Linked DNA regions of Sus scrofa. The protein of the gene in region 1 interacts with the protein of each later gene in a biochemical or structural test. Links are inferred from orthologs where the notes say so. Each region holds a gene or a part of one and is shown on either strand. Other genes may lie near its edges.

Evidence for each region.
Region 2: of the proteins of RNF168 (region 1) and H2AFZ, one has a biochemical effect on the other in vitro, tested with the Homo sapiens proteins (3 studies listed by BioGRID, with this or other methods). The link is inferred for Sus scrofa from reciprocal best matches to the Homo sapiens genes RNF168 and H2AZ1.

Annotation. Positions count from the first base shown.
Region 1 is NC_010455.5:133,624,312-133,628,345, reverse strand, and holds the start of RNF168 (E3 ubiquitin-protein ligase RNF168), read right to left. Parts: upstream 2,801-4,034; 5' UTR 2,548-2,800; exon of another isoform or gene 2,313-2,547; intron 2,226-2,312; 5' UTR 2,186-2,225; coding exon 1,885-2,185; intron 1-1,884. UniProt on the Homo sapiens protein: E3 ubiquitin-protein ligase required for accumulation of repair proteins to sites of DNA damage. Acts with UBE2N/UBC13 to amplify the RNF8-dependent histone ubiquitination.
Region 2 is NC_010450.4:120,562,320-120,566,523, forward strand, and holds H2AFZ (histone H2A.Z), read left to right. Parts: upstream 1-1,432; 5' UTR 1,433-1,617; coding exon 1,618-1,620; intron 1,621-2,063; coding exon 2,064-2,141; intron 2,142-2,423; coding exon 2,424-2,537; intron 2,538-2,875; coding exon 2,876-3,005; intron 3,006-3,282; coding exon 3,283-3,344; 3' UTR 3,345-3,704; downstream 3,705-4,204. UniProt on the Homo sapiens protein: Variant histone H2A which replaces conventional H2A in a subset of nucleosomes. Nucleosomes wrap and compact DNA into chromatin, limiting DNA accessibility to the cellular machineries which require DNA as a template.

The sequences.
Region 1 (4,034 bases):
CAGGCACAGCAAGAAGAAACTGGGACCCCACTGCCCTCATTACAGCCCACTCATAGGGCAAAAAAAGTTCTAGAAGAGTCAAGGAGACCAGAACTAGCATGCCTATGCACTGACCTGTTCCAACAAAGAGAAATAAGCTGTAGTCTCTGCTTCCAGCTAGAGAGCAGTGGCTCAGATGTTTTGCCCAGGGAAAAAAGGCAGGCAGTAAGAACTGAGAGCTCCAAAGATTTCCCTCAAAGACACTGACTTCACAATGAACAGAATATGGATTAGCCCAAGTCTAAAGGCACTCGTGAAAACAATGGCAATTTTAATGGTAAACACTAGCCAGGCAGTTCCTCACAAAGCTAAACATAGAATTACCATATGATCCAGCAATTCCACTCCTAGATATGTACACAAAAGAAATGAAAACACATTCAAACACTTGCACATGAATATTCATATCAGTACTATTGAAATAGCCAAAAGGTGGAAACTACCCAAATGTCCAACAATGGATGAAGGAACAAAATACAATATATCCATAGAGTAGAATATTATTCAGCCATAAAAAGGGATGGAGTACTGATAAAGATAGAACGCGGTAGACTTCCCGTTGCAGCTCAGTGGGTTAACAACTCGAGTAGTATCTATGAGGATTCAGGTTCGATCCTTGGCCTCACTCAGTGGGTTAAAGGAGCTGATGTTGCCACAAGCTGTGGAGTAGGTTGCAGATGCAGTTTGGATCCAGCATTGCTCCGGCTGTGGCTGTGGCACAGGCAGGCGGCTGCAGCTCTGATTCAACCCATAGCTTGGGAACTTCCATATACCACAGGTTTGGCCCTTTAAAAAAAAGAAAAGGAAAAGAAAAGAAAAGGAAAAGAGAAAGAAAGAAAGAAAGAAAGAAAGAAAGAAAGAAAGAAAAAGAAGGCGGCATGAAACATTATGCTAAGTGAAAGAAAACAGACACAACAGATCATTCGCTGTATGAATACACTTACATAAATTATCTAGAACAAGCAAATTCACAGAGATTAGAAACTCCGAAAAGCAGGAGTGGGATGGAGTAAGGAGAATGGGATGCTTAATGGTTAAAGAAGTTGTCTGGTGTGATGAAAGTTTTGGCAACAGTGGTGACAGTTTCCAAACACTGTGAAAGTAATTAATGACACTGAATTGTACACTTAAAAATGGTTAAAATGGCAAATTTTACCATAATAAAAAGAATTCCCAAAAAAAGCAAGTACACCAGAGCATCCACATCACATTTAAGCCTGGAGAAGAAACACTGCAGGGCTTAATGACCACATAAGTGGTCAAGCCGCTAAAGTCTGGGGGCAAAATGAAGAGTTGTTAAGTCCACACTGTGGAGGGCTTTGAATAAAAATGACTGAACTAGAGGAAACTGGCCACAGAAAGCTATTTTAGGCTTGTTGAAAGCTTAAGAACTAAATGAATGGAGATGTATAGGCAAGAAAGTTAGAGAAAAGTAACTGAAAATAAAAAAAATATTAACACAGGAATCCAGCAGTTTCCTTACTTCTGCTGCTGCCATACTGACTGTTGCTCATCTGTGACTATTTATATAACTTTCGACACAATTTAAGACCCTAGTAGGTAATTCTTTTGTTTCTTTTTTTTTTTTTTGGTTTTCTTTTCATTTTTAACCCAACAAACACCGACCAAACTAAGCCTATGCCTTAAAACAATGAACCAAATCTTGCCATTGTGACCTTAACCAACATTTTAGGGCCCATTAAACTCAAAGATGTGAAAAATTTGGACAAATACTAACCCAGATTTTCTTTTTTTATCCTTGAAAAAAAAAAAAAAGACTAGTGATGATTCGCTTTTTAAAAGATTTTGGTTTTTAGACAATGAACAAGCTGGATTTTTACTCACCAATTTCCTCTGATTCTTGCCCAGAGGCTCTAAGCTTGCATTCTTTTGGATAGTGTTTCTGAATTATCTTCCACAGTTCCATGTTGACAAGAGAATTTGTTCGGGTGCGGTGTCGAGTCCACGAAGAGACTCGGCGGCGACAGAAGGGGCAGCACAAATTTGCTTTTTCGACAGTCGACTGGAAGCATGGTTTACACAGCGTGTGGTTACAAGGGAGTGTCACAGGCTCAAATAGAATTTCCACACAGATCTGGCACTGGCATTCCGACAATGAAGGGATGGCGTCCTTGGGTACAGCCATTTTAATATGCTAAAAAGGCATATTCAATCAACATCAACACCTGAAAGAGAAAGAATCCTCATCTACAGCCCAAGTTCGGAGAAAGCGAATTAAGTTTTGTGTTTAAATTTTATGCCCAGTAGCCTACCAGAATTCAGAGACTGGGAACATCAAATGTCTTTAAAGCAAAAAAGTGTTCTGAGGGTCAGGTAAACAGTACGACCGTGGAAGGAAGTGTGTTTGTCCATGTTAAGACAAACGTCCGAAATGAAAACAAATGAACCTTGACTGCTCCCAGCATTAACAGCCGTTGCGGCAGGGCGGATGGTGGGCTCTCTGGCCCCCGCAGGAGGCACGCGCCAAGTTCCCCTCCTTTCTCTTACCAGGTGAGGATGCTCCCGTAGCTCCCGGAAGCCAAGCCGCAGACCGCAGAGGCGCGCAGCTACGCAGCCACCGCTAGAGGAAGAACGCTTCTTCCGCCCGGACGAGGAGCTCCGAAGGAGTAGGACTTCCGTTTTACCATTGTCGGGGGCCGCGCGCGAGCCCTTCCGGGCGCTCTGAGCCCGCCCCTCCCTCTCTTCCATCTACCCAAAAGCCTAACCTTGGCGCGGTGCTGTAGCAACCCGACAAGGGCTAGTGACGTCACGACTGCCCGCCAAAACAGCCCCTCCCACCTAGAGAACCAACCAAAGGTAGAGAGGGCTAACATTGGGGCGGGACTTCCGAGTCTGCGCGCGCTGCCCGACCCGAGCCCCGCGCCCCGCCCCCCCAGAGCTGGTCTTCTCGGTGTGTTGCAGTCCTTTCTTCGCAGACCCTGCGTCGTCACATTGACTGCACTTTAGTATTTCCCTCTTGATTTCTGCTCCCAGAGGCTGCAGAAATCAGGGTATGTCGCAAGGTTGGTCTCTTGTCAGAAAAAGTGAAACTTAAAGGCAAATTAAAAGCCGATGGAGTTCCCGCTGTGGCGCAGTGCTTTAAGGGTCCGGTTTGCCGCGGAGGCTAGTTTGATCCTTGGCCCTGTGCAGTGGGTTGGGGATCCCAGATTGCTGAAGCTGCTGCATAGTTCTTACCTGTGGCTTGGATTCGATCCGTGGTCCTGTCACTCTTCTGTGCAGTGGGTGCGCCCCCCCCAAAAAAGCTTGACAATAATTTTTAAATTCTTCCCTTAGTACTCCTCAAACTACCCTTGTTTCTTTTCATTTGTAAGGAAGCCTCTTAGGTCGCTTTCCAGAGTTCTTGTAAAAGCATCTCTAGGATGATTTCTGAGAAAGGCTGTGGTCAAAGAATCTGCAAACTTGCTACAATTTAACAGGTACTTGGGAAACAAACTGTAGGACTGGCAGGATCCTGGGGCTTAGCCAACATGTGCATCAATTATAAGGCACTGCTTTATTGTTTAATTTCAGTCTAGACCAATCAAAATTACAAAAGAAGTCAAAAGGAAAATATTTTAACTTTATGCATTTTGAAATGTTTTCCCACTTGGTTTTGTTAAGGCAGCTGCTCAACAGCCCTGCGCTGCAGCGTATCAGCTCTAGCGACAGCCCTGTGGCTGCAGTGTTTCAGCTCTTTTACCCAGGGAGAAACCAAGTGAGCACTGGGAAAGTTGGAGAATTCACGTTTATTATGCCGGCAGGCTCAGAGGAGATTGCTCTCCAGAGTCTGAGCCCGGAAGAAGTCTTTCACAAAGTTTTTATGGGCTACCTCTTCTGAGCTCCTGCTTGGCGGACCAGAGTGAGGTCAGGCAAGGTAGTAGATGCGGAAGCAAGCTTACTGCAGCAGATGCGTGAGGGAGGGGTGGTTAGGGGCAGGTGGCTGGACTTTGCTTAGTCATCATGACGGGGGGGGGGGGGGTGTCTCTCCTTTCTAC
Region 2 (4,204 bases), on another chromosome or scaffold:
CATGCAGGATCCCAGCCACGCATGCCATCTAGTCCACAGCTCAGGGCAACCAAGGATCCTTAACTCACTGAGTGAGGCCGGGAATTGAACTCGCGTCCTCGTGGATACTAGCTGGGTTCTTTAGCGCCAAGCCACAACAGGAACTCCCAATTTTTTAATTTTAAAATTAACAGCAAATTTCCAAAAAAACTTGATAAAACTTTCAGATTGAAACCCAAACTACAGTACTAAAGAGTATATATTTCAAATTTTCTTAATGTCAGAAATACTGAATTATGTTTATAACGTAATTACTGTTAAAACTCCAAGTATGAAAGATTTGGATCACTACTGTCTCCAAGCAGCTGGACGTGTACAGAGGTGCTATTAATCTATTAGTTGGAAAATTAAGTAGCTGGCATTATGATAGTACTGTGTGTACAGTACTATTTTTTTAAGCCCATCATTTGCATTTGATTACATGGACCATCTGTAACTGCCTGTGAATCATATGAGGACATTTACCGAACATTTGTCAAGTAGCAAAATGTTTAGCATAGAAGAGTTGACACATAATAGCCTTCATGTTTCACTAAATCAACTTTAGAAGCCAGGCTATAGGTACAACCCACAGACGTGTAGTCTTTAGAAAAATATGATTTGATTAAAGAATACCGCCTCAGCCCAAGCCTTCAGTGGGTAGACCAAAAGGTCTTTTATGACCAGCGAGGTGACTTTGCTTCACCGTCTTTTCCATGAAACTGTTCTGTTGGGGTTGGGGAGGTAGGGGGTTCAAAAAGTCCTGAGAAAAGAAGAGGAAGGAGATACAGCTGAAAAAGTGGGAGCAGAGGGTCGTGATGAATCGGTGGCTGGGCACTTGCCTAGGAGGAACAAACGCGAAATCACTACCCAGACTATGGTTAGCGAAGGAGTCGGGGCGCCTTTCACTGGACGCCTTCGCGCCACCTGTCAGACCGGAGGTGTCAACGGGAATGCAGGGGGGTCGGTGAAGGTACCCCGTGCTCCGGAAGAAGGCTGCGGACAGGCGGGTCTCTGCCCGCCAGGTGTTCTAACGGGGCGGAGGCGGAGGGAGGGCAGGGCAGGAAGGAGGGAGTGCTAGTCCCCGCTTTCCGAGGTCTCTGGAACCGAGCAAGGAGGCAAAGGTGGAATAGGGGGCAGCTACTGCGTGCCCCTCCCCTGAGCCTCTCAGCTCCTCCCTCCAGGCACGTGACTAAGCCGGCGGGTGCCCTGCTCAAGCAGCGTAGCTCGCTCTGTTTCTTCCCTCCCGCCGCTGTGCCCTTCTTCTCCCGGGTTCCCATCCCTCCGTTCTCCCCCACCTCCTTCTCATGCCCCAATAACAGCTCGAGCTGCAAAGCGCCCGCCCCTCCGCCCTTTTCTTCGCTTGCTCATTGGCTGAGACTTCAAGGACGCGGCCCGAGGGCGGGTGGCAGCCATTGGTGGGATGAGCAATCCGAGTTCCCGGATGAGGGAACATTCTGCAGTATAAAGGGAGCGGGGAAGGCGGGAGACAGCGCAGTTTGAATCGCGGTGCGACGGAGGAGTAGGCGGCGGGATCTCGCTTGGTGACTGACTAGTCCTTTCTCTGCCTTGCTTGTTTGAGCTTCAGCAGAATTCGAAATGGTAAACTTCGCGGAGGCGCTCGAAGACTACGCGGGTTTTTGCCGGCAGGAGAAAAACCCGTTACACACGGAGATGGGGGTGAAGCGGTGACGGTTGGGAACGCGCGGAGAGAGGATGTGGAAGAGCGGGGGGAGGTGTTTTGTCGGCGGCGAGCGGAGCAGCCTCCGATCTCGCGGCGGGCGGCGACGGTTGGGTGGCGCGCGCAGCGCCGCTGGGAGCCGGAGGGCGGTGAGCGGGCGGCCTGAAGCGCGCGGCCGCGGCGGGCGCGCAGCGGGGGGCAGGCGGGCGGGGTCGCCCTTGCGGCGCGCGGCGGGCCGGAGACCCCGGCTGGGCACCGGGCCCCGCTCGCGCCCGGGCCGCCCCGCGGTGGGGGAGGGGCGCGCCGCCTTGGTAATCCTGTATTCTGCGTTCCTTCTTCGCTCGCGGGCGTGTGCGCGCCGCAGGCTGGCGGTAAGGCTGGGAAGGACTCCGGAAAGGCCAAGACAAAGGCGGTTTCCCGCTCGCAGAGAGCCGGTTTGCAGGTCAGTGGGGGTTTCTGCTGTCTGGGAATCGCGGCGTTTTTCTCTCCTTTTTCTCTGTTTATCATTGCACTAGATGAGCTTTTGGTCTTTGCGTGGTGATGGTGTCGGGACTTGGTTTACCGATACAATAAATATTGGGGAAGGGGGGGCGATCACGTGTGGCGATGCTAGGGCGCGTTGCTGCATCAGCCTCCGTGCCCCTTGCTTTGGCGCGCGTATAATTTGACCATTTTTGGCTCCTCTATCTTTGTGCATTTGTGTTTGTGTATGCGAAAAATGAAGTTTCCGGTGGGCCGTATTCATCGACACCTGAAATCTAGGACGACCAGCCATGGACGTGTGGGCGCGACTGCCGCTGTGTACAGCGCAGCCATCCTGGAGTACCTCACCGCAGAGGTAAATGGGTGTACGCCTGTAATCTGGAAAAGGTGGTGGGGGGAGGCGGTGAGAGGGAAGGAGGAAAGTGATGCAAGAAAACTCCCAGGCTCTGAACGCGGTGAGAAGCTTCTGACAACGCTAGAGGGGGCTGGTGTTCATTTTGGGTTCCTCCTGAGCTTGAGTTGACTGCTTTAGGAAATAAAATTGCGTGTCCCCTTTATAGCTTTTGCATATCTTGCCATTCAGGTAGTGGGGGGAGACGGCAGTTGGTAGATACACGTTCACGAAGGTTTGATTCTTCTGGATCTTGATCCTAAGGAAAGTTGGCAGGAGATTGATTAGATTCTGTCTTCTAGGTACTTGAATTGGCAGGAAATGCATCAAAAGACTTGAAGGTAAAGCGTATTACTCCTCGTCACTTGCAACTTGCTATTCGTGGAGATGAAGAATTGGATTCTCTCATCAAGGCTACAATCGCTGGTGGTGGTATGTAAATACTAAAAATTTTTTAATTTCTTTAGATAATTCTTTACTTTTTTCCCCCACTAGAAGAGGACACTTAGTGTTATTTTCAGTGATCTGTAGTATGGTTGCATCATGAAAATTGATTCCTGTATATAACTTAGTGAATTTTTACTTCTGCATACTCTGGCCTCACATTTAAAGACTTCTTCGAAGTTGAACGTTAAACTGTCATGGTTTTGAAGTCCTGTGTTAATTTTCAAAATAATGTATATTTAAAAGTATCCCTTTCCTCCCCTAGGTGTCATTCCACACATCCACAAATCTCTCATTGGGAAGAAAGGACAACAGAAGACTGTCTAAAGGATGCCTGGATTCCTTATTATCTCAGGACTCTAAATACTCTAACAGCTGTCCAGTGTTGGTGATTCCAATGGACTGTATCTCTGTGAAAAACACAATTTTGCCTTTTTGTAATTCTATTTGAGCAAGTTGGAAGTTTAATTAGCTTTCCAACCAACCAAATTTCTGCATTCGAGTCTTAACCATATTTAAGTGTTACTGTGGCTTCAAAGAAGCTATTGATTCTGAAGTAGTGGGTTTTGATTGAGTTGACTGTTTTTAAAAAACTGTTTGGATTTTAATTGTGATGCAGAAGTTATAGTAACAAACATTTGGTTTTGTACAGACATTATTTCCACTTCGGTGGATAAGCTCAATAAAGGTCATATCCCAAACTAGTTGTGTATTAAATTCACTTGATTATGATGGGAACAACTTTTGTTTTGAATAACTATCTTATCCAGCAATAACTTAATAAGCACGTTTCTTACCTTGAAATTAAAATGTTAATTTTGTAGATCAACAAACCTCGAAGGCTAAAGCATATATATATTTTTTAATGCTATGAGATGAACTATTAAAGATTTTAAAACTTCAGTAGGAGCTTGGAACTGGACAAGGTGATGTTTTTTAGGTTAAATTTGATCATCTCAATTTGTCGCTGCACTTGCTGTTTGTGACAGCAGCACTACATCCAGAGCACTGTCATGGACTGGGGCAGGTAGGGAAGTTCTGTATATTGCTACCTCCACAGAAGGTACTTTCAGTATAAACAGTGAAGTGTTTCCTGTGTTCTCCCACTGTTTCAAAGGCTACCTGGATTAAACTGTTCAGTATGCACCATCTAATCCCGTTTTTACAGAAAAGAATCAAGGTTGGAG